3 linked regions of the Drosophila melanogaster genome follow. The protein of the gene in region 1 interacts with the protein of each later gene in a biochemical or structural test. Each region holds a gene or a part of one and is shown in the gene's direction. Other genes may lie near its edges. The genes, in order: ebi, phyl and sinah.

Region 1 (10,764 bases):
GTGGTACTTGGAGTGCAGTAGCTTGAATTGTACCAGTGGTGCTGAGCGGGAATCTCCGGCGATTAAGTTGCCAAACTCGCCCAAGATGTAGCCGCCCACTTTAACCATGTTTTCGTGGCAGGCAGGGGCCTGTAGCGCCTCAAAAACAGTCTTTGCGGCATAGCCTTGAACCTCCTCGCGATTGATCACGATCTGAATGACGCGGTACCATACTTCCTCAGACACGTAGTCGCCAGCAATGCGAATTAGATTGAGGATAACGTCCACATACCTGGTAATATAGCGGTTGTCATAAAGCACATAGACTTTTAAGCACAAGCTAAAAAAGAGAACACCTACCAGGTATAATCCGTGGCGTACTTCTCGGCAAGAATGGCCACCTTGAGCACCATTTCCTCACGAATAGAGTAGTCGGCCGTCTCCAGATAGTTGAGCATCTCCTGAACAATTTCCTCGGCATTACCACGATCACACATGGCATACAAAAGATCCACCGCCATTTGGCGCACGGACACGTCCTTCTCCATTTTCATTGACAAAATGACCACCTCCTGGTGCTTCTTCACCTCCTCGTGCGAGAACTCCGATGTGGCCAGGTGGCACATGGACTCCAGAGCCAGATAGCGCAAGTTGGTCTCCCGATTGCTAAGGAACTGTCCCAACTGGTTGCAAGCGCGGACAAGAAGGTTCGGCTCGCTGTCGCTGTGAATGATCAGGTTGATGGCCTCGAAGAGCACGGCGTTCTTTGCGTTAGAGTGCTGCACCTTCTTACTCTTTGGCGGCTCTTGCGCCTTGTTCAAAATCGTCTCCAAAGTTTCATTCAAGCGGGCCCGCACACCGGCCTCTTCGGTCACTGGATTGTAGTTTTGCAGCAATCGCAGAAGTTTCACCGATAGCCATGGAGCCGGCACAAAGTAATATGTGTAATCCTGCAATGCGAATTTAGTTAGTAATTAGAAGTTTCTTACCTTAAAAAATGCATTAAATCGTACCTGAAGATCCGTGTAGCTGGCTGTTACGATCCGGGATAAGCGTGAAACAGCCAAATTAACACAACCCTTGTACTCGTCCGGATTGCGCTTCACCAAGGCGTCGATCAGCGAGGTGGCCGCTGTGACCACTCCCATGTGCTGATCATTGAGCAAATGGATAATGCGCGAAGTCCACTCACCACCGGGAATGATGTCCGGCGAGGAGCGGAACAGGCGGAGCAGGCATAGCGCCGCCGACTGCTTCACCACGTCCATGGTGTCGCCCGAGACGAGTAGCTTGGGTATTTCGTTGGAAAAGGACTCGGCCATATCCCGACTTCCAATGTTGGCAATGCATTGTAGTGCCAGATTAACGTGCACAGGATTACGCGACTGCAAATCATTCTTTATAGATTGGATGATCAGCCGAATAAGGTCGCTGTTGGTGTTCACCAACACTGAGATGAAAAGGTAACCCTAAAGTTCAAAAAACAGATTTTATCAGTAACATTAAATTTAAAAAACCAATTTTTTAATTATTTTTATCAAACTTCAAACAACGACAAGTTAAATTTAATTGAATGAAATTCCCTTTTCCCACAAGCAGAGTCGTCTGCTTTCAGTTCAATTATTTCGACTCGCTAAATAAACAAATGATTATTGAAGCAATTTTTTGGGGTACTCACAATCTGCTTTTCTGAGTATTTGTTGGAGGACAGCAAATTGACCGCCTCCATGTGCCCGAAGTCGATGTCATGGCCGAGGAGAAATATGAATAACAGCTTACAGACATATTTCTTTTTCTGATAGCCGTCGAGGGTTTTGTCTCCTTTAAATTTGCTTCGTATATTGGCCAACTCCTTGTTTATGCGTTTGACTTCGGCCTCTTTGCTTTTGCCTGTGGGCAAATGGGTGAATATTAGTATAGAAATTTGTGTCTTATGCGGGTATAAGGGAGATTCACAGTAAAACAACAGTGATTCGTCTGCGGAAGCTTCGCTTTCCTTTCCACCCCGCGATTGATCGATCGGAGAGACGACTTCACACCCTTCAGCTCTCTCCATGTCGCGGATTTTCTCCGATTCACATAGGCGTCAATTAGTACCAGTCACCGATCCGCAGCGGAACCTCTGCTCTCCTATATGTTGTCCACAAACCAGAAACTAGTAACCGAGCATACAGCAAACAACGAGCTGTGATAATAATACCATACAGTGAAGCGTCGGACTCTTGCGCACACACATATGCACGCTTCGAAGTACTACAGTAAGTCATCAAACTATCAAAATTGTAAGTATTTATTAATACTGAGAGGCAACCGATTCACATTGATATAACTATTTGCTGTGTTGTACCCATATATATAACTATATATATAACTTTCTCATATCTTTCTAATGTAACGACTACGAAAACATTTACATAGGAATGGAGAAGAAAAGTAGCCAATATTTTGTAATTCATCTGGCAGAGAGCTTACTGTTCCTGCGTTTTTGTACCGCCCCACGTTTTTGTCAGTGCGCTGCTCCTGGTAATTGATCAAGTAATGGCGCTGATTCCGCCCCTATGGAAAATCTCTTGTTGCGACCCGCTCAATTGGATTTAATGCTGGTTACCCAAGAGATCTGCACTTACAGTTCCTTATATCCGATATAAAGACGGCCAGGCCTCTCATGCCATCCCCCCGCACCGGCGCCATGGTAGTTAGCTTGTTAATTTTCGCTGGTTTTATGCAAACTGGGGGCGCAAGAAAATCGTCAATGGATGGCGGCCGAGTCTCGAGGCGTTCTTATCGCTCGAACTCGACGTCGGACCCTAAGATATATAGTTGCTCTCCGCTCTGGTTCTGCAAAGCTCTTTTTACTTCGATTGGATCTCGGCCGTTCCTTGGGACCTGAAAGGGGAAACGATACTCTATTTATTGTGGGTTGTGGGAATGGGAAAACTTAGTATTATGATTACGTTTTAGTATTTGTGTTAACAAACGTATATTATTCAAACAAAAGGTATTTTGGATAACAATTTGTATTTAGCCAGGGAGTAGCTTATTGTGCATGCCAACACATTGATACAGCTTCTATTTTGAAAGTCCGTATTGCAGTTTTACTTTTGATAACGAAAACGCCACAAAATATGTATGCACCACACATTTCACTGAGCATCAAGCGCTGATAACGATTTATATGTATAAAAAATCCAATGTTTAATAAACTCAGAACTTTTAAACGGTAAATAGTGGACTACGTGATTGATTTTCCGGCCAGTGCACCCAATGGCTGGCGAACTTTGACATTTTCTGGTGGAAGTAGAGTGTACCCCCGCATTTTTGGCAACCGATTTATTTTCAACTTGGCAGCGTTTTGCCCGTTGATAAAGATTCTGTGACCTCGCTCGCCCACTTTTTATCGCCTGGCGAAGTCGATGTGCACTTGGGCATTATTATTTGGATTTGCGCGACCACCGGCTTTTGTTTCTGTAGTATACTTTTTACTTTGCTTTCCGTTTCGTTTTATTTTCTGTTTTTCACTGCGCTCTTCGGTTCTCTTCTTTCTTTGCTTTCATGTCACGTCACTTTTTTCACCGCTGGATGACGAGGGCGTTTTGCCCAAAAAAAAAAGCACCGAAGAAGCCTCCAAAAACATTAATGGGCGTATGTTAGCTGTTCTTTTTTTTTGAGCTTACTTTTCCGATTTTTTTTACTCGCCAGCGGACAAAATCGGTTAGCGTTGCGGAATTTCTGTGGCGGAGCAGAGAGAGTAATCTCTGACTTCTGAAGTTGGCTTCGCTTGGAATCGGAATCCGGGGTGTTGGCTGCGGAATGTTTGACCCTGCGTGTTGCACTTTATGGAACTCCAACTCGCTGGAGCTTCGCCTCGCTGATTTGCCGCTAATTTGTTTGTTAACTATTACCAAGTGCAGGGCAATTCACTAAAATGAAAATTTCTATTGATTTTTCTTCGCTCTCGCTGCCTAAGAGTGGAGCCATCTAGCGGGCGCGGGTGGAACGATTGGTGTGACCAGTAGAGCGTTGGGTTGAAATACAATGATTACTTCGAGGGATGGGTACACAGGGATGGACGAAGAGAGACGACAATTCGCTTTAAGAATTTTTTACCTTTTGCTCCAAGCAGAAATCCAAAAATATCTTCTTAATTGTTTTTATGGCTAATAAATTTCCGTTCTATCCTTTAAGGTAACGCTTGGTGCAATACAAAAATATGACTCAAATTTGATTAAGTTGTTGTCAAAACTTGTGACGTCACAAAACACAAGGCTGCGCAACCTCTCGCAGCGCACACCTTGAGATTACTCCGCCATTTTTTTGCGCGTTTCAGAAACGCGTTTTCGATCCCTCGGTTTTATTTGTGGAAAAAATATGTGAAGTGCTCTTGCGGCAAGCAGCAAACTGGCAGAATTGAAAACACAGGACCGACCAGATCGATCCAAGTACCAGGAGTAGCACCGGATACCGTGGCTTGCGCCGAAGTGATAAGCGTGCCGAATGCAGACGCATGTGTTACGCAGCACAGTTCCGATTTTCGCACCGTAAAAACATAATTGGCATTGGAGATAGGAGTGGATTTTGGAGTGCGCTAGTAGTAGGAGAAGGAGCCAACCGCGTTCCGTCATGAGTTTTTCCAGCGACGAGGTGAACTTTCTGGTTTACCGATACCTGCAGGAGTCGGGTGAGTAAAACCCTCCAATCGCAAGATAACAGCCCGCCCTAATCTCATGCAATCCCGTTTTCTAGGCTTTCTGCACTCGGCCTACGTGTTTGGCATTGAGTCACACATCTCGCAAAGTAATATCAATGGCGCATTGGTTCCACCTGCCGCTTTGCTCACCATCCTGCAGAAGGGTCTTCTGTACACTGAAGTGGAGTGGAGCGTAGGCGAAGACGGCGAGGTGGCGCGACCCATTGAAGGACTCTCTCTAATAGACGCTGTCATGCCGGAGGTGAAGCCACTCAAGCCCATTGTGAAAACAGAGCCGGGAAAACCCGGGGCAGTCGACTCTTCTGCCCCTGCCGGTGGCAACCAGAACAACAATGCCAAGCCTGAGATAAAAATAGAACCGGGTACCGGAGTGGCGGGCTCAGCAGGTGGAAACAAAATTGCTGGCAGCACCACGGGCACAAGCACACCAACCGATCAGTCGGCAAGCGAGGTAGACTCCAGTGGAAATGCGGCAAATAATGCTGGCGGCACATACGCCGGAAACAATGGAGCTGGAGGGAACCAGGCCAGTACTGGAGGATCTAATAGCACAAGCACACCAGCTGGTGGAGATTTGGCAGCACCTGGGGCAAGTCAAAAGAAATCCCAGAACTCGAATGAAGCGGGAAGCTCATCTAGTGGCAATGCAGGCAATGCAAATGCTACCAGTACCGATGATGCAGCCTCCTCAACATCCACAAATGGCAATAGCAGCACTTCCAGCAGCGTAGAACAACCTACAAGCGGGCTGACGCCCGCTGGTGGAACTGTATCAACCTCCAATCCGGACGCAGCAGCATCGGGCGGAGCTTCGACTGCAACAGGATCAAAGGCGCCAAGTGGAGCGGTTACGATTCGCGTAGGAGCCCAAGGAAACAACGTGCAGTCTGGTTCGTCCAATGCTCAAAGCTCTGCTCCCAGTGGAACCATCTCCTCGTCTACCAGCGGAGGTGCTGGGACTCCCGCAGCTCTTGTTCCCATGGACATTGACGAGAACATCGAAATACCCGAATCCAAGGCTCGTGTATTACGCGGCCACGAAAGCGAGGTGTTTATCTGCGCATGGAATCCTAGCCGGGATTTACTGGCAAGCGGTTCGGGAGACAGCACTGCTAGGATATGGGACATGTCCGATGCAAACACTAACTCCAACCAGTTGGTGCTGCGCCACTGCATCCAGAAAGGCGGCGCTGAGGTGCCTAGCAACAAGGACGTCACCTCTCTGGACTGGAATGTAAGTCGAAGATCTTGGCACTTAAGCCTTGCAAAGTTTGATTTCTGATCCTTACTTAATCTATTCTCGTTTTTGCAGTGCGATGGTTCCTTGCTCGCCACCGGCAGCTACGATGGTTACGCCCGAATTTGGAAAACCGACGGTCGACTTGCTTCTACTTTGGGACAACACAAGGGTCCGATCTTTGCTCTGAAGTGGAACAAGTGCGGCAACTACATCCTCTCGGCTGGCGTGGACAAGACGACGATCATCTGGGACGCATCCACGGGCCAATGCACCCAGCAATTTGCCTTTCACAGTGCTCCAGCCTTGGATGTGGACTGGCAGACAAACCAGGCCTTTGCCTCTTGCAGTACGGATCAGCGGATACATGTGTGCCGGTTGGGTGTAAATGAACCCATCAAGACCTTTAAAGGACACACAAACGAGGTGAATGCAATCAAGTGGTGTCCGCAGGGCCAACTGCTGGCGTCCTGCTCTGATGACATGACCCTCAAGATCTGGAGCATGAACCGAGATCGTTGCTGCCACGATCTGCAGGCTCACTCAAAGGAGATCTATACGATAAAATGGTCGCCCACGGGGCCGGGAACCAATAATCCAAACACAAACCTGATCCTCGCATCCGCTTCGTTCGATTCCACGGTAAGACTGTGGGACGTGGAGAGGGGCAGCTGTATCCACACGCTCACCAAGCACACAGAGCCAGTCTATTCGGTGGCCTTCAGTCCGGATGGAAAGCATTTGGCCTCCGGCAGCTTCGACAAGTGCGTACACATTTGGAGCACGCAAACGGGACAGCTAGTGCACAGTTACAAGGGCACGGGCGGAATCTTTGAGGTGTGCTGGAACTCCAAGGGCACTAAGGTGGGTGCCAGTGCCTCCGACGGTAGCGTTTTCGTGTTGGACCTGCGAAAGTTCTGATTGCCGGAGCAGCCACAACTGGATTTCGTGTATTGAGCCAACGCTTAAAATAGTCAAGATTCCTTTTCCAGCTCATTATTTGGTAAAAATGAAATCGGTAGTTTTTCACTTTCTTACGGAACGAGAAGTTTTTACTTTTGATTCAAAAATTGCATTTAACTATATTTTTTAAAGAAGTGAAATATGATCAGTTACAATTCTACCAACATAAGTCGATTTGGATCTGGAGTCCGGACCTTAGGTAACTCCTTTCTTAGCTATCCCGCCCTGCAATCGTATTTGTAATTGCTTTAAATTCTAATTAGTTCTTTAAGGTATACCTCTTGAGATGAGATCCTCCCGCTTTTGTCCACGTCTATTTCGTACGCTTAGTTTCGAGTCACAAAATATCGATATGCACCTGGGATTTTTGGGGGCTTCAACATGGTTGTTGTTCTCTTCAGATCAGCGGGATGCGACTCGCCTCATTTTAATCTTAATCATAAGCTCCATGTTTCTAAGGTCGTCCCTTTTTATACGAAAATCGTTTAGTATAACTTTGCATTTTGTTATTGTATCGATCAAAGATGCCAGCCAACTCCCCGCCCTCCCCACCAAAAGTCCTTTACCCAATTCCACAGTTGTCCTCCAAAAAAGGGATGCCAAGAGATCAGATCAGACCGATTCACGCATACATTCAGAACAGTGTAACTGCAGTCCCACGTAGTCAGTAATCGAACGTAATTATTAAGAACACGAGATTGGCGGAAACACAAGAACATCAGCAAAAATACATTAAAGATAAAAATTAATCTGTTTTCGTTTTGGGCCTGGGTGTTTTTTGTATTTTAGCATTTTAAAATTTAATACTAAAGTACTTAAATTAAACTTTATTCTTTGTAAATATAGATACTCCTGAACTTAATTTTATTTTCATTTGTTGCTAAAACTCCATGACACTTTCCAGATGGCGTTGCTTAAAGAAGCGGCACTCCTCGCGAATTATTTCGCCGGATTTTGTTGTGCCCTTAAAGAACTTTGTGAGCTTGGTGCCGGCGTACTTGGGCTTCTCGGAATCCGGCTCGTCGAACTCCATGTCATAGGCCTTGTCCGCCAGTGCGTTTTCCGCGGTGGACCAACTGAAGCGCACAAGTCGTGGAAATCCAAACACTAGATCGATGTACTCGGTCAGAAATCTTCTTGTGACCGGATCTCCCGGATATCCACTGCCGAACTCGTTGTCCTTAATGACCAAGCCCTCGGGGAAGCTCCACACCTTGAGGGCATGATCACGGGTAACTTTGGCGCATATACTAGCAGCAGAGACTATTGGATAGGTGGAGTCAGCTTTTTTCGCCACGGTGATTTTAAAGCTGGGGAAACGTTTGAGCAACTTCTCCTGGTACTTCTCCGGCGGACCCACCGTATCCACATAAACCTCGGCTATATTGACGCCCGCATCGATCGCCTGTTGGATAAGGCCCATGGCCGAGTCCATGGAAACTTCGTTCAGGGAGCACTTCGACCGCCGGTACATGCTGGTGCTGATCGTGTTCGGCGATATGATCTCCACGGCCCAGCCAACGCAACTGGTCGCATATTCCTTGGTGTTGATATCGTTAAATATGATATCACGTTTCCCCTCGGTTAGTTGTTTGGAATCGGCGCATCCCAGGTCCTCTAAAGCCTTGTTACTTTCCAGTGGACAGTAGGAGATCCCATATACCATAGGTCCCAGGACGGGACCACGCCCTGCTTCGTCCACGCCCAGCATGCACGGCTTATCCTTGCAAATATCCGGAACATCGCTGAGGTAAACCGTGTTGCGGCTATTCTCCTTGCCGGCTATAAATGGACCCAGGGCCTTCAAGGAGCTTATTTTTCCGCTGTCCTTAAAATCTACATCATCGGGCTCTTCGTCGTTCTCATCAATATTTTCTATACATTTTTTTTCTTTTTTTACAACTACGTCTTCTTGGTCCGACATTTTCGCGCGCTTTTTTTTTGTTTACGTTTAAACGACGCTATGGGCACACTAATTGTATACATAAAGTTGCAGTGTGACTCATTCGTCATTATACCAAAATATCTTTTTTTTAATATTCTCAATAACCGTACGGAAAGGTCTTTTATTAAAATAGAGAGATAAACATATAACCAGAGAATTATGCTAAGGCTTCTGTCCAAGATGCTTAAAAATAAACTAGTTTAAATAAGAGATAATCTCGGCAGTTTGAACGAGTTTTCCTCTACCTAGTATTTCCTGACAATAATATGCAAATTTTCATAGACGGTTGGTATTTTTCTTCGTCATCGGCGCGGTCACACTGCATATCAACTGCTCTTTCCGGTTTAGGATTTTGACCAGCGTGCTTGTTCTCGTCCCGAGCTAAGGCCATTTGTTATAAACAATTAATTTTTGGCAACTTGCACAATCAGTGATTAGCCACAGCACTTCGACATGTCCACCAAAGCCGAGCTCGCCTGCGTCTACGCCTCCCTCATCCTCGTCGATGACGATGTCGCCGTCACCGTAAGTTTTTCGATATTGCAATCGGGGACGAAGCAAATCCTCCAAAGCCGCGGCCATCGGCCGGAAGTATTGGACAATTTGCGGGTCCTATGGTTTCTTTCGCACTGCTGCAACTTGTGCTGATCTTATTTTTTGGATTCACCAGGGTGAGAAGATCAACACCATCCTGAAGGCCGCCAACGTCGAGGTGGAGCCCTACTGGCCCGGTCTCTTCGCCAAGGCCCTGGAGGGCATCAACGTCAAGGACCTGATCACCAACATCGGATCCGGAGTTGGTGCCGCTCCCGCCGGTGGTGCTGCCCCTGCTGCCGCCGCCGCTGCTCCAGCCGCCGAGTCCAAGAAGGAGGAGAAGAAGAAGGAGGAGGAGTCCGACCAGTCTGACGACGACATGGGCTTCGGTCTGTTCGACTAAATCCTCTAGAGAACTTCTCGACAACCGGACATCCGTTGTGTTTGTGCTGTAATCCTCGAGAGGTGGACGTGTACCCGTTTCCCGACCTGCGTACACGTTTTTAATGTACAAATGTGAGGAAATATAGAAGACGTTTGCTAAAAAATTATCGAGACTCATTCCTTTCACAACGGTGCAGAATTATTATGGTTTACTATGTTATTGGTCATTCCACTGCCTTTTTGTGAGTAGATTCTATTTTGGGTTTTTAAGCACATGAAAGAGGTTGCAGTAGAATGGCCAATAATTTGGTCAGCCGGGTTGAAGGCTACGATTAAAATGTTCAAGGTTTTTTTTACAAAAACTGTCACAGCTAATATTTATTGGATATAACGAACGCAGACTAGAATAACGTCTCCTCGAGGACCTTAGCTAGGGCACGAAGATTGGGTCCGTCGATTTTCTTGAGACCCAAGCCCACCACGAACTCCGTCGGGCACTTGTGGAGTCCGGTTCTGTTGACCAGAAACTGTATGGCGCTGCGAGTCTCGTCGGTGTCCAAGCCCAAGCAGCAGTTCATCGTGATTGGCACCGATACGTGGAACTCCGGATTGTCCACGGGTCCGTGCAAATAGGGAACCACTCTTTCGTCCTTTTTGACATCGAAGTGCACGTTGTAGATGCCGGGAATCTTGCCGAGCTGCGTTATGACTAAGAACCACTTCTTGGCAAAGCAGTGGAACACTATCTCCGTGGGAACGCCGTTCACGTCCGCTGAGAACTGCCTGTCGAATCCGATTTGTCGAGGTTTGTTTGCTGTGTGGTTCATTTTTTGAGAGAATTTAAAAGCGTTTAACAATGTTGATATTGTTTACGATGAGACAGCATGAAAAAACGATGAAAAATACATCGATGTTTTATCGATAGTCATTATGCATTGATGTGCTAATATGAAGTGTGGCCGAATGGTTCCGAGTTTCGTGACTCCCGAAGCACGCAGTTCAAACGTTTGCACT
Region 2 (11,909 bases), on another chromosome or scaffold:
TCCCCCCCACCTTTGGGGTTTATCAAAGCAAATCAATCAGATGCACGCACACACAAACAGAGACAAACACACGGAGTACACTCGTAAGCAGTGGGACATGCTGGAACACACTCAGGATATGGAAATGGAGACCATGTCAGTTGGTGGCCACCTGGGGATTCGAGTCCTGCCACTGACCACTGGCGCCCAACTTACGTTTGAGACAGGCGCGCGGCTTGGCCTGTTTGCGTCGGGACATGGCCACGTTGGCTATTTAAATCACTGTTTCCGTTTCCGTTTATAAAGCTGCTTTAGTTTGATTTGACTTGATTTGATTTGATTTGGCTTGAGTGGGCCTAGCTCGCCGTGCGGCTTCCGTTTCGCGCCAAAGCGATTTGTTTTGGTTTTTTGTGTCACAGCCAGCGAGTCCTGGCAAACGCAGCGAATATCCTTGTGCCTTGAGCGTCGGCAACTGACTGAATGCTGGCCCAAAAAAGGTGGCATCAAAACAGAAGCTCTTAAAACAAAATGGTATGTCCACAGCGCAGTCGCGAACAATAAAAGAGCGACAGAGATTGGCAGAGAGAGCAATCAGATGCGGAGAGAGCAGGATGAGGTGGTAGAACAGAGCCACCCAAGAACTCCCAGACATCCAAGCAGTGAACCATCTATCAGTGCTGAACTTATTCCCCTGGGGGTTGCTTCGCTTCCATCCCCTAGAGAATACCGGCGCGGCACCAATCACGAGCGTTTCTGGGTGCCTTTTGAAGAGCCAGGGAACCCGGTAGCCCGGTAGCCCAGCAGCCCGGGAACCCATGCCGACTGCTCACAGTGTGATAGATTCTTCTATTTTGTTGCCCTCCCCGCTCGCCTGTTGCAATTATAAAGTCAAGTCAATTATTTTATAGCCGACTTTCGCACGTGCGTATGGGGGGTCCATCAAAAGGGGCGCGATCTCGAGGCGATTTCGATTCTCCCAAGGTGCCCTGCGAATTGCAGTTTCCACTTGGTTTCTCAGCAGCGGGATAACCAACGCACACCGCTCAGCTCCTTGGTGCACCGTGAGAAACGTGTCCAGAAGCAGAAATTCTAGTGCTTTGGCAGCGGGTGACGACGACATGGGCAATGGATCCTTTGTTGTGCCATCCACTCATCCATATTTCAGGAGTACCACACGCTTGGGATACGAAAGGTGATGTGGTGAGACTCATTAAAGGCAAAGATTGGTATGGAATGAATTAAGGAATGATTTAAAGTTGTGCTAAAGACAAAGTAAGATAAACCAACTGTGAATCCAGAATGTGTTAGAGAATGAATTTAAATTCTGTTTTAGTTAGAGATCAAACTGTGACCTTGAAATCGTTCTTATGTTCTTATGTTATATATTTATATATCTTTTGTTACTTCGCCGTTTGTTGTTTAAAGTATACGTTTTCATATGGGGACTTAACGTTGCACATATTACTAAATTGTTTAGAAAAATTCTTGGAAATTAGTGGTATACATTAAACCTCAAAATTGGAAAATAAAACTTATTTTCCCAAGCGGATTATTTGTTGGCAAATTGTGAGTGCACTCACCACTGGAGTGGTGTTTTTACATATTTTTTTCATTTTTTTTTTACATTACATTTTAAGAACTTGGAAGCATATAAAGGTATATTATTGCACATAGTACAGAAATAGTAAGACAGCTGAACGAATTATATATTTTGATGAAGATGAATTAGTAATACTATTGTATTGGATATAACATTAAAATATATTTAATCGCTTACAACGATATATCTTTTACATATTTCAATATTTATTGGATATTCAGGATTCTAAATAATAGATCTTGTGGATGGTTTTCGCTGAATGCGAACAAAAGAAATTCAATTACTGACCAAAATTATGCTAGACCGATTGAATTCATTTTTCGCCGCCGCAATTCGCCTTGCTTTGAATGTTAGGCGCCACCTACAGTAATTTCTTGAAAACTGTTTGGTAGCGACTGGCGCTGTGACTCCATAGATGTCGCTGGTGTGACACTTAAAGGCAACGGTATGTTTAAAATAAATATATTTCCTCTTAAAGTCAAATTGCATAAGAGATTAAAAAAATTTGATGTACAATTAATAAACAAACAATGGCGTAATAATTGTTTTTAGACGGTACCCTTTAGTTTTGCGTAGTGTAGTTTAGCTTTAATAGTGTTTAATTGCGTAGTCAAAGTCGAAGTAAAATAAATAAGAGCAGTGATTTAAAAATGGGAATACAAAAAACCGAATTTTTTCAAATGCACCAAAACCATTTGTTTAAACATATTGATAGGATCACAATAGAGATCTTGATAATAAATATTTAAATGCTTAACCATAAATCTCCAAAAAAAACTTCGTTATCCCATTCTTATCCTCGATATCTCATCCTGGCACCTTGGGCACTTCCTCTCTTGGGATCCCAGAGATCTACATGAAAATTTGATACGCATATGTCGCGGAAATCGATCGATCGAGGGTCCAGTTCCGGATACATTATTCGTTCGCCACGCAACTCCCTCGCCTGATTCCATTCATGTATTCATTCATCAGAGGCCTCGATTGCGCTTGGAACCTCCGTGCCCCATACTTACTCCTTACTCCCTACTGCCTACTCCTTACTCCCTGCTCCTTACTCCATTGTTTACTATCGTCGAAGATGCGTAGTAAAAGTAGCGGCGAGCAGCGCCAGTTAACCCAGTGTCTGCGATCTGAGAAGATCGTCGCAAATCGGAGGAGCGGACGAAGAAGGTTCGGACGAAAGAAAAAAGGAGAAGAAACATCTGTCGCCACGAAGAAATCCGGTTGCAAGCTGCAACACCACCGGCTCAAAATGAGCAACAACACAGAGAACATATGATTGAACTGCCCGAATGCCGCATAAAAATGGGTAAAAAACGAAAAATCGAAACGCACCTTTTGTGTTTTTGTTTTTTTTTTTTTTGTTTTTGGAGCAGCTGCCGTTGCTGTCGGTGCTTCGTCGCCGTTGCGGAGGATCGACGGGTTTGGGGGGAGCACCAGACTCTGCACTCGGCAGCCTGTTGATGAGCCCACAATGCGCACATGCTGCAAGCTATTCGTGCCGCGGATGATATGGGCTCTGTGTTGAGCCGGCGGGTCCTCCATAATGATAAGTGCCCGTCGAGGAGGCCGTCCACATTAAATTCGGCGTTTGTCGCTCAATGGCAGCTGCCACCGATTCCTTCGGCGGCTTAAGCAAATCCAAAGGACTGGACGCGAGGGACGAGCTTGAGTGTCGAAAGTTCAGATAGGTCAAGTTGTCAAAATATTCGGAGACAGTTGTCGGTGCTTTTCGATTCATTCATAAAATTTGCGAGGCTCTGATCGCTGAATGAATTTGGCAATTCGCCTTGCAAGGCAATAAAATTATAAAATAAGGTTTATCAGCAGGTTAAGAATCATTAACATTGTTATTCCTTATTTTTTATAAATATTTATTTGGCATAAAAGTATATCAGTCATCAGAATTTTATTCGTGGTTAAATTGTCAAACTTCTGCTGCATATTTCCACTGGCACTGCCTTTTGTTATCCGTTTCCTGTTTCAGAATTCGCACTAGTCATCCTAGCAGTCAACATCCCTTTTGGCGCCCTTAAATGTGAACATATGCCGCCTGTTTGTTTTGTTTCGGCTATGTCACCCTTATGGTTGCTTTTTCTCTCACTGCAATATTGGGTTATATGGTACATGTTTTCATTTTTCAAAAACACCAGGCTTAATCTGAGCCCAAAAAATTGCATTTGAGTATAAAAATTATACAAAAATAAATAAATATTTTTAAATTTTGTTTTATATTTGAAAATATATATATGATTTGAAAATATGATATATTTTGCATGACTTTTATTTCATTAGTGTCTAGCTTATCCTTTATCTCTTATTTTTCCCATCGATCCGACAACGCTCGCCACTCTCGCATGTCATTTGCCAGATGTGGCAGCCCGCAGGCACAAATTTTGAAAGTGGTGCCCAGAATGCGATGAGGACAAGCAAGGCTCATTCGAAATTTGTGCGTGCAACGCGAAGGACGTGCCGCTCCGTAGCTCGCTGTCCCGCTCTCGCTCTCCCCGCTCTCTCGCTCTGTCGCACGCGTTCGCCGCTTGGCATTTGTTGTTTGCCACATTTTCGCGGCACCCCAAAAAATCGTGAAAATACAAATACAATACGAGTGCGAAAGTCGAATATCGGCAGAAGTTAGTGCGACCTTTGGTGACGTCAGAGGCTGGGAAAAATCGCCAGGATGTCTACCAATCAGCAGCAGCAGGCGAATCCTTCGGCGGCCGTTGCCGCACCCGCCGCCTCCTCGGAATACCTGAAACGCACCTGCCTCATCTGCGGCTGCCACACCAACCAGACGATCAATATCTACGAGCCCCGCTCCGGACCCAATATCGTTCAGCTAATCCAGGCGAAATTCAAGTTTCAGGTATGGATTTTTCCCAACTTAGAGCAAAAAAAATAAAAACTCAGTTAGGCGGGGAACGTATAAAAATCGATATTGGGGCAACTCGGCGGATGAGTCATGCAACGAAGGAACGTCCTTCGGACAAAGTTTTCCCTCTGCGCGTGTATCCGTGTGTGTTTTTTTTTTTGGGTTAAAAGGGGATGAACTTCGCTGGGCGGAAAATGGGAAAATGGGTGGCACTTCTATAGGCAGGTACAGGTAACTCCCTCACAGCAGCCCACTGGGAAAAAAAGAGTGGCAAGCTATTTGATGATTGATTTCGAGCGCAGTTTTCTAATATTTTTAAGTGATTATTTGCAAAGAACTAAGGTCTCGGAATTAGTAGTTCTATCACAAACTACTTTCTTAATGAAAATTTCAAAATCCTTTATCCCTATTAGTTTTGTGGTATGCCCACCTTTTCCTGTGCCCTTTAAACTGCATATCCTGTCGCCGAGCAGATGATGCATTTCCCCGACAACCTTTGGTAATTGGACACTTTGCATATGTGCCAGTGCCACAGAGCCGCCACTTAGTTCGATTCCTTTCCCATAATTTTTAACAGCTTGTTCTAATATGCGAGCAGTGCGGTGTGTGTGTGTGTGGGAAATGCGACAGCGGAAGATGGCCAGGGAAATCGATCCTGGCTGAAGATCCTGGGCTTGTTTTTCTGTGGAAGTGAGTTTCGGGTCTCGGATTACAGGCACTCCTCCTCACTCAAATGACTACCCATGACTACCTGTACCGGCGGCGCACACATAAACCTGCTCGAAAGGGCAGATGTGCTGTGGATTTGCCGAGATTGCTCCAATTTCTGCGGGCAGTGAACGAACCCGGTGTGTTCGTTCTCTTCGTTTCCATATCCCAAAACGACAGCTGTATTTGCCGGTCGGCACTCAAAATCCAACCCATCGGGGTTTCTGGATCCTCTGCTGCTGCTGCTGCTGCTTCTTTATCAGCTCTTCATGGTCTCGAGTGAGTTTTTTCGCATATCAACTATTGAACTCGGATACCTGGATGCGAGTTCACAGTTTATTGTTTGTGAGACGAAGGGATTTTCCCCAGCAGCATTGGTGGTTGAACCCTTGGAGAATGCCAAATATCTTTGGATAGAAATTCCGGTTTCTTAAGCTGCGCAAATCCAAACAAAGGATCTACCCTTGGAATAGCGTTTACAAAGGTGATTTCAAATGCCCGAATTTTCAGCCGAAGTCCCAGAAGTGCCAAGCTAGACAAGATTTCCATTTAGAGGTCTTCGTTTAGTTTGGTATTTTTGGGAAATAGTTTTTACTAAGGTTTCCGTTCAATTGGATTACAAAGTCAGAATGAGAGTTCTTAAAACGAAGTCCTATAAAAACATAAACAATATTAAGTGGTTGCTAACATAGGTTGTTAAAATATTGGGTAGATATTGGTAGATTGTATTTCCACATATTTTCGGAATATATGTTTCGGTCTTAGATTAATTGAAGCATTGTGCTTAACTAGTATTGTGTGTATAGCAATCAATTTAATTACGAAATGCTCGAGACGCACGCAATGCGATTTCATAATAACAAAAACCCTCAGCTAACCCCGCAATATCAGACACTAGAAGCTCACCCTCTATGCACATAGAATATATATATATTCACCCCCTCCGGACGTCGTTAGAATTTCGTTTGAACCGTTTTTGCGAAACCCTATACGGTGGGCATACACCACCTGCCGTGATCGTAGCCTGGCAACCGATCTCCCCCACAGGAACAACACCCTCGCCGGGTTCTCTATAAGCTCGAGTTCTGAATGACAGTGCCATAAAGTCCAGTTGCAATTACCTTATCAGACTGCGCCCCCCCACCTCCCACTCTTATGCACTTAGAAAAAAGGAACATTACAAATTGAGTAAATATGCAGCTATATTAACAGAAGCACGAAGAGTTGTTTTCAAACTAATAGAAGTACTTTTAAACATATTTTTCATGTGCCCATATTTAACTGATCTTAGGAGTGCACACCTTTTTCTCGCAGTGCATCTGCGATCGGCGTGCGTGCGTGTGCGTGTGTGTGTGTGTGTTTGTGTGGCTTTCTGTCTGCTTTGCACCTGGCCTGCAATTTGCATTATTATACCGTTTACACATGGCCCTTGGAGCACACCTTTTCAGCGCCGAACCCAAAGGTAAACAGCCAGCCACAATCGCTCCTGATCCTTTCTACCCTGCACACCTCCTCCTCCTCTATCGCCATCCTGGTCGATCCTTTCGGTTCCCCGACCCTCGTACCGATCACCTTTATCTAATTTCTCGGCGCAGCTGTCGCGCATGCGCGTGCCTAATGGTCGTCATAGTTGGGGTTTTAACCCAGTTCCCGCTTCGGTTCCACTTCGGCATTATGTGTTTTTTTTTTTTATATATATGGATAGGGCGCGTGGCTCTTGGCCGAAAACGAGTTTCCTTCGAGGCTCGAACTAAGTAGCGAATGTCCCTTTGGCTTGTTACTGGTTACTGGTTTTCCGTACCTTTTGGGCCAGCTGCTACCGCTGGGCGCTTAGTTTTTGCTGGCAGGTGCACGAAATTATTGATACCCGAGGAATGCTGAGGTCTGGCTGGGTAATTAATATGCCCGGGTCGTCTGGCAGTTGTTTTTCGGAATTGTTATGGTCTTTTTTTTTTTTTTGCACCTCTGGCTGGATGCTCATTAGTGGTAGTGGTGGTGGTAGTGGTCGGGTGTCGCGAGCGATCACTAAGTGCATAGGCGTATCGTAATTTTCTAGAGGTTTATTCTGTGGGTTATGCCTGGCTTCAGATTGCGAGTCACGCAATCGGATTTGGGTCAATTTTCATTCTAAGGTTGGTTCCTGATGACCTTAACGGTTTCATGGCTATAATCAATAAATGATTGGCCTTCGTGGCTCTGCAAGTTACAATGTAACCGCCTTCGGTTCTTTCTAATGGCTTTTTATCCTTTACTTGGAATGCTACATATCAGTCTAAGGCAGTAAGCAATTTATAAAATGGGTTATTACTCAGCCATTAAATTAATTGAAGGACCAAATGAGTTTGAATAGTTATGATTAGTATATTATGATTAGCAATAACTTTATAGTCTAGATAAAACTACTTCTACTACCCGTACTCATCTATTCCCTATATATCTCTACTTTCAGCCCCTGAACGAGGACAAATTCCTCTGCTTTAGCTGCAACAACTGGCTGATCAACTGGCACTCCCTGCAGGCGGTCAACAGCAATGAGGCCGAAAGCCAGAGCCAAAGTCCCTCGCACATGGGCAACAGTGTGCTGCAGCAGGAAAGGACGAAGCTCCGTCCGGTGGCGATGGTTCGACCCACGGTGCGAGTGCAGCCCCAATCGCAGCCCCAACTGCAGCCCCAAGTTCCAATTAATCCCACACCCGCACCCATAGTCTATTCGAAGCGAAGAGCCAGCAGACGCAGTGCCTCCGTCAGCCGGATGAGCCGAGTGCTGCGCCAGTGTTGTGTGGAGAGTCTGCGGCGGAGTCCCAAGAAGCGCAATCAGCAGTCGGTGTTCGTCTGTCTTAGGCCGCAGGGCCAGAAGAGGAGCAATGCGATCTGCAAGGTGGAGTGTGTGGCGCCGCGCCGGAAACCAGTGGAGCGACTGGTTAAGGATGTGGCAGCTACAGCTACACCCACACCAGTGCTCAATACACAATCCACGCCCACTTACCAAAGATTCCCGCAGCCCAGTGTGGATGGCAAAGTAGTGGCCATGTTCCGTCGACTGGGAACCACACTCAGTCGGGAAGAACCCGCCGCATATTCAGCAGAATCAAACCCCGCCTGCTCGAAACTCCCGCAGATCATGAGTCCGCTCAAAGAGGCGCCGCGCTGGACGCGGGACCTCGATGATGATGAGATACTGCTGGAATTCGATACCGCCATATCCGAAGTCCTGCCAACTGCCCGCTATCAGGTTACCCACGAGGAGAACAAGGAAAACCAGCAGGCACAAGAAATGGAGCTGGAGCTGGAGGAGGAGGAAGAAGTGGATGGCCGAGCGGAACTGGAAGTGGTGCAGGAGGCGGAAGCGCCACTGGAACCGCAGAGCCACCACAAACAAGGAAACAGCCACCAAAATTCCCACCAAGCTTCAATCCAACTCGCTGGCCTGCGATTACCAATGGGCCTTAGCATTAGCCTCGTCTAAAAACGATGGGTCCAATTGATGCCCCGCACACAAAATAGTCAAATTGCATGCACAATACGCAAATTATGAGCATTAGCAAATGTCTAAGTTAATAGTACCTCGATTACATTTTAATTGTTAGTCAAATACCTTAATTAATTAGCGGACAAAAAAAAACACACACACACAAAACAAACAACAAAAGACCTAAGAATGTTAAGTTAACGGATGTGGAAAGCTATATTTAAAATATACATATTAGTCGTAGGCAAATCCCTGACTTACCCAAAAAAAAAAACAAAAAAGAGAATCCCCTCGAGCCAATGTAGTTGAATTTGTTTGTTTGCTCCAAAAGACAAAAGTATTTCAAAATAACATGCGAAATAAAAATAGCACAAAAGCAATCAGTATATAAATGAATGTTTTTATATTTAAATGTACGGGTGGTATGAATTTTCTATTTATTCCGAGGAATAAGGAGTGATCTTTATGAAAACCAAATTAATTTTACATTTCCCGCCAAATGTTACTCATCCAATTAAATTTTTACGTTGAAAAGTATGCACTTTTTCTCGTTACTAAATTGGGGCTGCCAACTTGTTTTCTTCACGGCGCCAAAAAGTATGCTCTAATTTTTCTGTCTTGTGGCGCCAAAATCAAAATGTAGAACTGCAGAAAATTTTCCTACAGAAAATATTTCTCTTCAATATTTAACATAAAATATGAAGTACGAGAAATTAAATTGTTAATTGTTAAATTAACTAAAATTACTATGTTTTACTTAAAAATTTTCTGCAATATATTTGCTAATAAGTTAACTAATAGAAAAGCTAAGAAAATTCATCACATTAGAAATCCATTTTAAGATATTCCAGAACCAACGAACGACATGCTCTTAAATACATACATATATCATTAGTTTTCGCCTTGCGTGCGAAAGTCCGATGTGTAATTGTTGATTTCTGATGCTCTAGCGTATTTATTTGATTTAGGCAATTGCGTAGTGAGAACGAACGTGTGGAGGTCAGCATCGTCGTTGTTGTTGTTGTTTATGCAACTGAGACAGCGGTGCGTATACTTATTTTGGCTTACAATATGGCATTTCATCAATACACGAACTGATGACTGAGTGGCTGGCTGGCTGGCTGGCTGGCTGGCTGGCAATTGTGGTTTCGCCGACATGACTGGCAACGTTAATAATGTGGTGCGGAAATTTCTACGCGCACTTCAAGTACGCCTTATTGAGACGGCGACTAAGGTTACTTTTATTTATAAATAAAATTCATCGTGCCTTCTGAACTTGAAGATGACTTGCCGCCACGTCGAAGGAGACGGAGAGAGCGTGCAGTTTCCGGAAATCGCGTATACGCCCGATGGCCGTGCGAAGAGCTTACGCCTCGCGATTCTCGCCACTCTGCCGCCTACGAATGACGGTCAAGGTTGAGGCAGCTTCGAGCGGCTTGCCACACGGCACGTTCTACGTTCTGTCAGTCAGAGATTAAATCATTGAGTGCTGTGCGACATTTTTAGCCCGTCCAAGGATGTGCGGTCTTGCCAAAAAAGTGTAGACTTGTCTAAGGTTAGTGATGCACCGTGAGAAACGTACTTAAGGAAATCGTTTATTTAAAATAAATATTATTCTAAATATCGATATAACCGATCTGTGAAACACGTTTCATACTCATAAGATGTATGTAAAAATATTTAAATTATATCCACTGCCAAGGAATTAATGCCTAATTCAACTGCGATAATTCACATGGTTTATATTTATATCCATTTGCTTGAGATGAACTCTCGCTTAATGAGTGCAAGTTGTTCTGGAAAACACGAGATGTTCGACTGGTTTTCGTTCGGTTCCTGTTTGAGCACGTTTAATTAGCATAAATTTAAAAGTGAATTCGGCAATAAAGCCCCAGCGGCAGGAAGCTGAATCAAGCGATCGTTTGAACCCCTGCTACATATGTGATTACAATAAGAGCCTGTGGGGCATGCACAAACCCCACATATATCCCTCCCCCCCCCTCCCACGAAAATATTATGCAATGTACGCACAAAATGCTTCCCGTTGGCTAGATCGTATATTTTGCTGCACTTTTGAATTTTGCCCACGCGGTGAAAAATTGTGCGACAATTAGTTCAGTGCGCTGGCCAAGCGCCCCAAAAAAACTGGTTTTCGAAAAACACAAAAAAAAAAAACAAAGTATTAAAGTATAAAAGTCAGGCTGCTGTGGGCGGCGCGACGGGATGCGTGTGTGCGAAAAATCATTCACTTGTGTACAAGCCAGTATGCCCATTGAAATTGTTTAATAAATCGAAGCCGAAAGAAACCGAAATCGAGAAAAAACGAACTCGGCTGAAAAGTGAACAACAAATACCTTGGGACCGCAAAAAAATCGCACGCACGGCAACGATTAAGGCATGAGTACTCGAAATTCAGCCCCAGAGGCTGGAGACAAGGCAATAACAATGCTAACGGCCGCTTTATGAACAATTATGAACCGCGGGCGAGTTCGCCCCAAAATCAAAAAAAAAAAAAAATAAAATACAACAAAATACAAAAGCAAAAAGTGCCAAAAACAGTATCCAAATTCAAAACTCGAGTTGGGGGCGCATGCGTCACGTTCATGTCACTTTGCGAAGACAGAAATTACGAATATTATTCAATAAAATTCAAATTGTTGCTTTCACAGGCAAGGCAGACTGGTTGGGGTTTGCTGTTGTTACTGTTACTATATCTATATATACTTACCAATATTTTGCCGATTTTTTGTCGACTATTTTGGTGGCCTAGTTACCTTCGGTTCTCGAGTGGCGCGAATTTCGCTTTCAATTTCGGGTAGCCAAATTGCGCAAGATTCGTTAAATGATTTGGCAAAAAAAAGCTAGCGAATTTGCTAGCTGAGCTCCATTTCAAGTTCACCATTGTGGTGTAATTATAATAATACCCTAGACCAATTGCAACCCCGATTTTTTGTTTATTTGTTTGTAATAAGTTTATTTATGGTTAACACGCATAATATAATTTATTGCATCTACAGACTAATGCGTCTGTAAGAAATCGAAATTAAAAGCTAAAAATGAAAAATATTTTTATTCTCTCCTGTAATAATCCGTTTTGCTGTTTCCTCCGTTTTTGATTTCTTTTTTTTTTGCGGGAGGACAACCAAGTTTCCTACATCTAAATATGTAAATATTAGGCTAATAAAAGTGTGGAAAATAAAAAACAAATAAAAGAAAAACGTGCGAAAATTGCGAGTGAATTGGGTGGAAAATGTGAAAATCACCTTTTGCCTGCCCCT
Region 3 (8,328 bases), on another chromosome or scaffold:
GCAACCGACGCGGACATTAGAAGAAACTCAGTATAGTAAAGTAAATTAATTAATTAACCAGCTAAAGGCAGACATCACGCCCAAAGTACATGGAGAATGCCGAAAAAGACTGAATTCCACACCGCGCAAGGGCAAGTGCAATAAACGCCGACTGCGACGATCAAAGAACGCAATATAGAAAAAGTGAGACACACGAAAAAAACCCATTTCGCTGCCTGTGTGTAAATGCAAATGGTTTATTTTTGTGCAGCAACAACAACAACACAACATCAGCAGCAGCAGCAACACAGAGGCAGAAAAGGCGAAAATAACTAGTAAAGCTAAATATGAATAAATGTGTATGTGTGCGGGTCGCGTTAAAGAAAATTAGATAAAAAGCCAAATGAAATTAGCTCACGCCTGAATTTCGAGTTTCGGTTCGGTGCAAGGTGAACGAAAAGGCGAAAAGCAATCAAAACAGTTTTTCCATTTTCCCAGTGTGCGTGTGCAGTAGCAAAACCACCTGCATTGGTTATATATATATATGCGGTTAAAAAAATAACAAATTGCAACGTAAAAAACGGAACTTGCACCTAGGATATATACACACACATGCTGGCTGTATGCGTGTGTGTGTGTGCATGGCCGTAAAGGCTGACTGACTGATAAAAAAGGAAACAAAAAAATAACAAGAAAATAAAATATACACATACACACACACACCAACGCAGCGGGGCACCAATACCTCGGCACAATTTCTTGGAGGCAGCCTGCCATGTAAGTTTACATATCAACGATTATGTATTTCGCAGTTGTTGTTGCTGTTTAAACAGCAGCCTAGTCGCACTTAATGGCGGCATAAATTAAAGAAAGATAGTCGCATTTCGCTTTGCTCCGCAACTTACGTTTTCTATTTTACCATTTTGCAACTCATGAAAGCAGAAGCTAAGTTAATTATATTCATGGCTATGACTTTTGTGGCAATTACCATTTTTACCCCGTATGAACGTTTCCAACGGTACGCAACGTAAACGAACTGTTAATTATGTGTGTGCGATCTGTGTCTGTGTTGTAAGTGTGTGAGTTTCCCTCCCCGCGGCTGCCATCCCCTACCGCCACCCACCCCCTACACATCCTCGTTGCATTTGTTACGTTACGCACTCTTCATTACGATATTACGTTTATGCGGGCGATGGTACGAATTTCATAATGGCAAATGTTCAAATAATTTTTCCAATATATAGGGTAAAGTATTAAACATTTGTATGTTCATGCGTTTCATGTGTTTTTGTTTTGGGTTAATAAGGAAACATATTATTTATTTTTTAGGTTTGAGTTTGTTTTCGAATATAAACAATATTACTGAACTCCTTTCACACAAAATTTTGATAGCAATCATATAGCAAATATATTCCCGTTAGGAAAGAGAACAAGTTTTGTTTGTACATCAAAGCTAAACAATTACGAAAACTTTATATTATTATATTGATATTTATCTTATAAACGCACCAAAGCACCCACAGCATATTGTTCACACTAATGTGTGCCCATTCTGTCCAAAGTGGACAAACCCGTGAAACCGAACCACACCCATTACAACCAGCACGACACCCACCATCGCACAATCCCGCCATGGGTCGACGTCCCTAATGGCCGTCCATCAGCGTCGGCTCCGTCAGCTCCGCCTGATAAGAGCCAACATATTTGCGCCGTTCCACACGTGCCGCCAAGAGGCTTTTGGGCTTGGGCTCGGAGTTGGAATCGGAATCGGGCCTTCATTTCGATCGGAGACGTGACGGCGACCTCGGGCTGTGTCTTTGCTTTTCGCAGACCAACTCCGGTTCGATACGTTCCGCTTTAAGTAATTGCTTAAATGCAATTCCCATACACGCAAATGCGTGTGTTTTCTTTTTTCGGTAATTACAACAATTGGGAATCCACGGCAAGGTTAAGGCCAGGAATGATAAATCGCTTTGGCTTTTCTATTGGGCGGCACGAAAAACGAACTACCTAGTAGTAGTGATTACGCGAAATAAGTTTTAAATTAATAAGGCTCAAATTAAATTATTACAAATGGATAGTAGTTTTGCTGGGCAACATTTTTTATAGCAATCGAGTAGATTTTGCTTACACAGTTTGCATTCATTTCATTTCTATTACTTCATGGAAAAATATTTTTGCCTATTACTCATGTCCCAGTGGGCACAATAGTTTGGAATGAACATTCAAATCAATAGTATGCTCCGAACTTAAGCCGCAAAATCGATAGAAAGCTCATAACATATGTTCAAATTTAAACCAGCATTTATGCAGTGTGTTATACTGTGATTTTTTTTGTTGGTTGATATATGTTATTTTTGGATTAACTAAGCCTAATCGAAACAAACTATTTTTGTTAAGATATCTGTATGGTTTTGTAGGTTATTGTTTTTTGGAGTTTCTTATCACTGAACGAACAAAATTACAAAAAAAAGAAAAAAAAATTATACATATGCTATGACTAAATTGACCGCATTACTCACTGACCTGTGATTGTATCTCATTTTAGACAGAAGCACAAGAAAGCCATTGCCGAAGCCACCGGGAGGGCGAAGAACCTGAACCTGGCGAGAATTGCAGGGACCCAGAAGAATTGTAGACACATTCGTGCCGTTGCGAGAACCCTTCCAATGTCCAATAAAATCAACCCGAAGCGCCGCGAACCGACAGCAGCAGCAGCAGGAGCCGGTGCCACGGGAGTGGCCACCAACACGAGCACCTCGACCGGATCCTCCAGTGCCGGCAACACGTCCTCGGCCAACACATCCTCGTCGTCCAGCTCCTCGCTGTCGTCCGCCGGTGGCGGTGATGCGGGCATGTCCGCCGACTTGACCTCGCTGTTTGAATGCCCCGTGTGCTTTGACTATGTGCTACCGCCGATCCTGCAGTGCTCCAGCGGGCACCTGGTGTGCGTGTCCTGTCGCTCCAAGCTCACCTGCTGCCCCACCTGCCGCGGTCCGCTGGCGAATATCCGCAACCTGGCGATGGAGAAGGTTGCCTCGAACGTCAAGTTCCCGTGCAAGCACTCCGGCTACGGATGCACCGCCTCGCTGGTTTACACGGAAAAGACAGAACACGAGGAGACGTGCGAGTGCCGGCCCTACCTGTGTCCGTGCCCGGGCGCCAGCTGTAAGTGGCAGGGCCCGCTTGACCTAGTCATGCAGCATCTGATGATGTCGCACAAGAGCATCACAACGCTGCAGGGCGAGGACATCGTGTTCCTGGCCACCGACATCAACCTGCCCGGCGCCGTCGATTGGGTAATGATGCAGTCCTGCTTCGGCCACCATTTTATGCTCGTGCTGGAGAAGCAGGAGAAGTACGACGGACACCAGCAGTTCTTTGCCATCGTTCAGCTGATCGGGTCGCGCAAGGAAGCGGAGAACTTTGTCTATCGCCTGGAGTTGAACGGAAACCGACGCCGGCTCACCTGGGAGGCAATGCCGCGTTCGATCCACGAGGGCGTCGCTTCCGCAATTCACAACTCGGACTGCCTGGTGTTCGACACGTCGATTGCGCAATTGTTCGCCGACAATGGCAACCTGGGCATTAACGTGACCATATCTCTGGTCTAAACGCACTGTCAATTCGTCGGGTTCTTTCATTTCTTGTGTTTACTATTCCGATACAAATACATATATAGTTTATAGCCCTCTGTTCGCATCAGGCGTCTAACTCGTGGACAGATTGTGAGTCTGGAGATTAAGAAGAAAGAGTTTTGCAGAGTTGTTTTATAAAAATGATTCTCTATTCTAAGAGCCACTTACATGCATATGTATATATATCTATGGAAATATCAGGCTGCTTCGATTATCACATTCGGCACGATATCGCAGTTTTCTTTGATTTTTAAGCTAAGACACTCACAATTTTCCAAAGCGAAATGGAAAGCGTATTAAAGCAATTGCTAAGTGATGTTCAGTGTTTATTGCACACGTTCGTTAAACCTGTAAAACCGCGTTTAAAATTCGTATTTTCATTTTTAGTTTGCACATGACTGTGTGTAAATCTCACTCGTTTGCAGAAAAATGCCAAATATTTTTGGTGAGATTTCGCAGATTTGTATAACACACTTTCCTGTCGAATGCGAAAATCGTGGCTGACCTGTATGTTTGTATGTTTAATCGGTTCGATTGGTACTCTAGTTCTAGGACATGATTTTTCAGTTACCGCACACACAATACTATATATTTCAAAGTTTCAGTGTTACCCGTTTTGTTAGTTCATGGGGTTCTGCTTTAGTTTAATTTAGTTCGTAAGGTCCACACACCTGGAGCAGAGCTGCCTGCGCGTGCCCACGTGCCCACCACCTACTACAGTGAACGCTAGGAACACACAGACCCACTCACCAAAACGAGGAGAACAGCAAGAAAGGCGAGGAGGTCACTCATCCACTCGAACATGTACTGCAAAGTCTAGTTTAGTTAATGTAAATTATTTTATACAATACTTGTAAATGGTAATAAGTAAAACGAACAGTTTAACGAAATTAACAAACCTAATAACCCACAAAGAAAAGTAATATTTGATAGCGATAATCTGTAATAACTCGAGAGTTGTTTGAAAGTTGCAGCCTAAACGAAACTGCGACCCGCAATTTTGTTCATGCCAAACCATCACAAAATAACAAAAACACACTAAAAAAAAAAGAAAACATTTTTTTTCGCAATGCTAAAAAGACAGTTGCCCCTTCCCATTTCCCCCCAAGTCCCCCCAAACATATAAAGCAATGTTAATGTTTAAATTTCTATCTAGTTAAGACGATCTCCCCGGTTTGGCTCATGTTTTGGTTTTGATTTCCATTCGGCCAACGTTTCCCAATCGAAAACGGAAGAAAAATTAATGATTTTAAGCATCTGCACCGTAATTAGCTTTTAATGCGCCGATTTACCGCGCCACTACCATATGAGATCACTCACACAGACACAAAACTACAAAACTGAAATAAACATGATTAGTAAAAGTAAACAATGCTCGTTAATTATTGAAATTAATCTGGGGGAAGCTGAATTACAAAGAAGAGCTACGCCACTTTATAAACTTGTCGATTTAAATCAGTTATCTGTTTAATTTGGATTATCTTTGAGATACTTGGGTTACTTCTAATGCGTTTTAAAACGTTGCAATAATAGATGGCACAAGTTTTTAGTGGTGCACCGCCGAAGCATCTTAAAGATTTAGCTGGATTGGTATCTTACTAGGATACTTAGGCCAATTTCAAAAATAAATTTTTAAGCTGATTTTAAAATGATTTAAAGCAAGTAGGCTCCGAAGTAAAAGTAGCTCATTATACTTTTAGCTTCGTTGTATTGTGGTACAGATTGTATTTTCGAATTCTTTTAAGCAAAATTTCAGTGTTCAGAAAAAGTAAAAAAAAAGTAAAACCATCGGCACTCTCATTCTTCAGAATCGTTTGGTTGTTAGGTCTTAGGATTAATAGCTTGCGCATTGATTGTTGGCTGAAGCACAGATGTCTGTTCGCAACTCACGCCCCCAGTTATCGTGGCCGGAGCGGGTAAGTCCGCAAAGGACTATTGACACTCCAACGGCATCCGGAGAAATGTTGACTCGTCGTCAATCGGCACCAGCGTTGGTCGTGCCGCCGGAGGAGACCACGCACGTTGTGGTGGTCAAGCGGCAATCCCCGGACGCAGCCGCTGCCGGAGAACTGGTGCCGTCTAGGCGGAAGGACTCGGTGGCTGTGCAGTCGGGAATTGTGGCCACTGGGCCATTGGACACAACACGCAGTGGTGCAAGAGACGATTTTCTAATGGCTTTGCTCGAGTGCCCGGTGTGCTTTGGCTACATAATGCCGCCAATTATGCAGTGCCCGCGTGGCCACCTCATCTGCTCCACCTGCCGCTCAAAGTTGACCATTTGCCCCGTCTGCCGGGTGTTCATGACCAACATCCGCAGCCTGGCAATGGAGAAGGTGGCCTCCAAGCTGATCTTTCCCTGCAAGCATTCGCATTTCGGCTGCAGAGCGCGGCTCTCTTACGCAGAGAAGACCAAGCACGAGGAGGATTGCGAATGCCGTCCGTACTTCTGCCCGTATCCGGATGACAAGTGCTCCTGGCAGGGACCGTTGAGGGACGTATACCAGCACCTGATGAGCTCCCACGAGAACGTGATCACCATGGAGGGCAACGACATCATCTTTTTGGCCACCAATGTGAATCTGGAGGGTGCCCTCGACTGGACAATGGTGCAGTCCTGCCATGGGCGGCACTTCCTCCTCTCGCTGGAGAAGATCAATTTGGGAGAGGACTGTCAGCAGTACTTCACCGCCTGTCGGATGATCGGCTCCATGAAGGATGCCGCCGAGTTCGTGTATAACATCTCCTTGGAGGCCTATAATCGCACTCTCCGCTGGCAATCCAAGCCAAGATCAATCCGTGAGAACTTCTCCTCGTTCACCAACGCCGACTTCCTGGTGCTCAATAAGCACACCGTCGAACTGTTCTCTGAGGACGGTAATCTTGCCCTGAACGTGGTCATTAGGAAGGTGGAGGAGCGTACCAACTAACCCCTAGCGTATCCGTATCTCTGCCCCCCCCTATAAATTGGACTTTCGTCGCTGATTGGTAGCTGTTAGCGTGTTAGATAAGTGCATATTAAATTAATACATGTGCTAAGCTAGTCCTATGAATTCCAATGAACTACTCAAAATCACTATGATTCAAAAGAATGGTGTTGATGTTTTAAGGATTTACATTAGGAAAAGAATAAAGGATTGAAACGTATCATTTAGAGTTTCATATATAATTTGGATAGGGTTTCATATCCGGTGAATTTTATTTACAATCCCTATTTCACTCAGATACTTGTCATGTGCTAATTTCGAAAGAAGCCTTGGAATTACACATAAAACTCATAATTCTTACTACAGCTTGTATCTTTTATATAACCATGTGCTTCATGATGATAGGATGCAAGTACATTGCCAACGCCAATCCGAAGCGGTTCGCAAAGATCGTACATCCCAGCGCAGTGGGATTCGTTCTAGTGGGAACGGTATTATTTTTTTCGGTGGAAATGTTCTATATGTTGCCCAGGATATACGACACCGATGGACTGTTCTTCAAGATCGCCTGGCTTATGGCACTATTTATTGTCTACAATCTGCTAGGAAATATGCTAGCCTGCCATCGCAACTCCTCGGCGGTGACTTCCTTGCCCAAGGATCGCCAGATTCCGTGCCCAGAGGAGAAGCACCTGTGGCACTTCTGTGACCACTGCCAGATGTTAGTGCCGGTAAAGTATTTGCCATAGAATATTTCTGTATATCCACGAAAAAGCATTTGTAAAAAGTGGATGTGCGGATACTAAACATTATTACAAAATATGTATGTGACACTTAATACAGCCCAGATCCTGGCACTGCAAAGTGTGTGAATGCTGCATTCTGAGGCGGGATCATCACTGCATCTTCACTGCGACTTGCGTTGGCCACACTAATTACAGGTAATAGTTACTGGTGACAGCGATATTATTGTAACTTTACCACCATTCCTTTCCAAAGGTACTTTTTCTGGTTCACAGTTTACATGCATATTGGATCACTTTTGTCATTGGCAACGCATGTAAATCTGCTTATAATTGATGAACAAATTCGGAGGCAATATGTTGTATTACACTTTTCACGCTTTTTCCTATTTCTCAAACCAATGAGCTGCGAGTTAATAGCACTGAACATAAGTTTCATCATCAACATCTATGCCTGCATTCTATCACTCATAATGTTGGGATATCAGATACCAGCATTGTATCTGAATACCACATTCTATACGCCAAAGGATTATAGATACAATCAAGGGCTACTGGGCAACTTCATGGCCTTCATGGGAAAACGAGGCCTCTGGACATTTATTTCGCCCAGCATTAGGAGTCCTCTGCCCCACGATGGAACTAAGTGGCAAACCAAACAGGCACCCACTACTTTTTGATAGCACCAACCATTATCCAAAAAATGTACTGTGTATTTAGGAACTTTCCGAAATGATTACCAGTAAAAAAAAAGAATATTTCAGATATTTATAAATAAAACTTCTAAAAAATCCCTGGTTTTCAATTTAAACACACACACAATCTCACCTGGCACGAATCGATCCCAGAACTGGGTTAGCGGCAGGACAACCCACGGTGTGCAGTACAACCAGATGATTATATTCATTATCACCGCCTTGGTGAAGGTCATGTTGCGGTTCATGGGCTTGGTGATCACATTGTATCGATCGTATCCTATGGCCGCGTTCGTCATACCAGCACCAATACCCGAATAGGAGCCAATGGAGGCGAATATCTGGCACC

What was found.
Region 2: the proteins of ebi (region 1) and phyl form a complex in vitro, tested with the Drosophila melanogaster proteins (one study listed by BioGRID).
Region 3: the proteins of ebi (region 1) and sinah form a complex in vitro, tested with the Drosophila melanogaster proteins (one study listed by BioGRID).

What each region holds. Positions count from the first base shown.
Region 1 is NT_033779.5:410,790-421,553, forward strand, and holds ebi (ebi), read left to right. Parts: upstream 1-4,277; 5' UTR 4,278-4,599; coding exon 4,600-4,657; intron 4,658-4,722; coding exon 4,723-5,921; intron 5,922-5,999; coding exon 6,000-6,845; 3' UTR 6,846-7,747; downstream 7,748-10,764. Other genes in the region: AP-2alpha (adaptor protein complex 2, alpha subunit), read right to left, coding at 1-271, 340-929, 993-1,448, 1,658-1,869, 1,936-2,035; CG13690 (uncharacterized protein), read right to left, coding at 7,768-8,811; RpLP1 (ribosomal protein LP1), read left to right, coding at 9,286-9,357, 9,503-9,769; CG11885 (uncharacterized protein), read right to left, coding at 10,152-10,577.
Region 2 is NT_033778.4:14,424,447-14,436,355, reverse strand, and holds phyl (phyllopod), read left to right. Parts: upstream 1-4,018; 5' UTR 4,019-4,262; coding exon 4,263-4,448; intron 4,449-7,611; coding exon 7,612-8,628; 3' UTR 8,629-9,020; downstream 9,021-11,909. Other genes in the region: L (lobe), read right to left, coding at 196-238. UniProt on the Drosophila melanogaster protein: Essential adapter component of E3 ubiquitin ligase complexes; involved in R7 photoreceptor cell differentiation, embryonic nervous system, external sensory organ development and specification of particular muscles.
Region 3 is NT_037436.4:16,853,770-16,862,097, forward strand, and holds sinah (sina homologue), read left to right. Parts: upstream 1-5,310; 5' UTR 5,311-5,488; coding exon 5,489-6,544; 3' UTR 6,545-6,760; downstream 6,761-8,328. Other genes in the region: Rh4 (rhodopsin 4), read right to left, coding at 8,113-8,328; sina (seven in absentia), read left to right, coding at 2,649-3,593; CG13029 (uncharacterized protein), read left to right, coding at 6,928-7,272, 7,385-7,482, 7,541-7,964. UniProt on the Drosophila melanogaster protein: E3 ubiquitin-protein ligase that mediates ubiquitination and subsequent proteasomal degradation of target proteins. The adapter phyl is required to direct the degradation of the two isoforms of the transcriptional repressor Tramtrack (Ttk).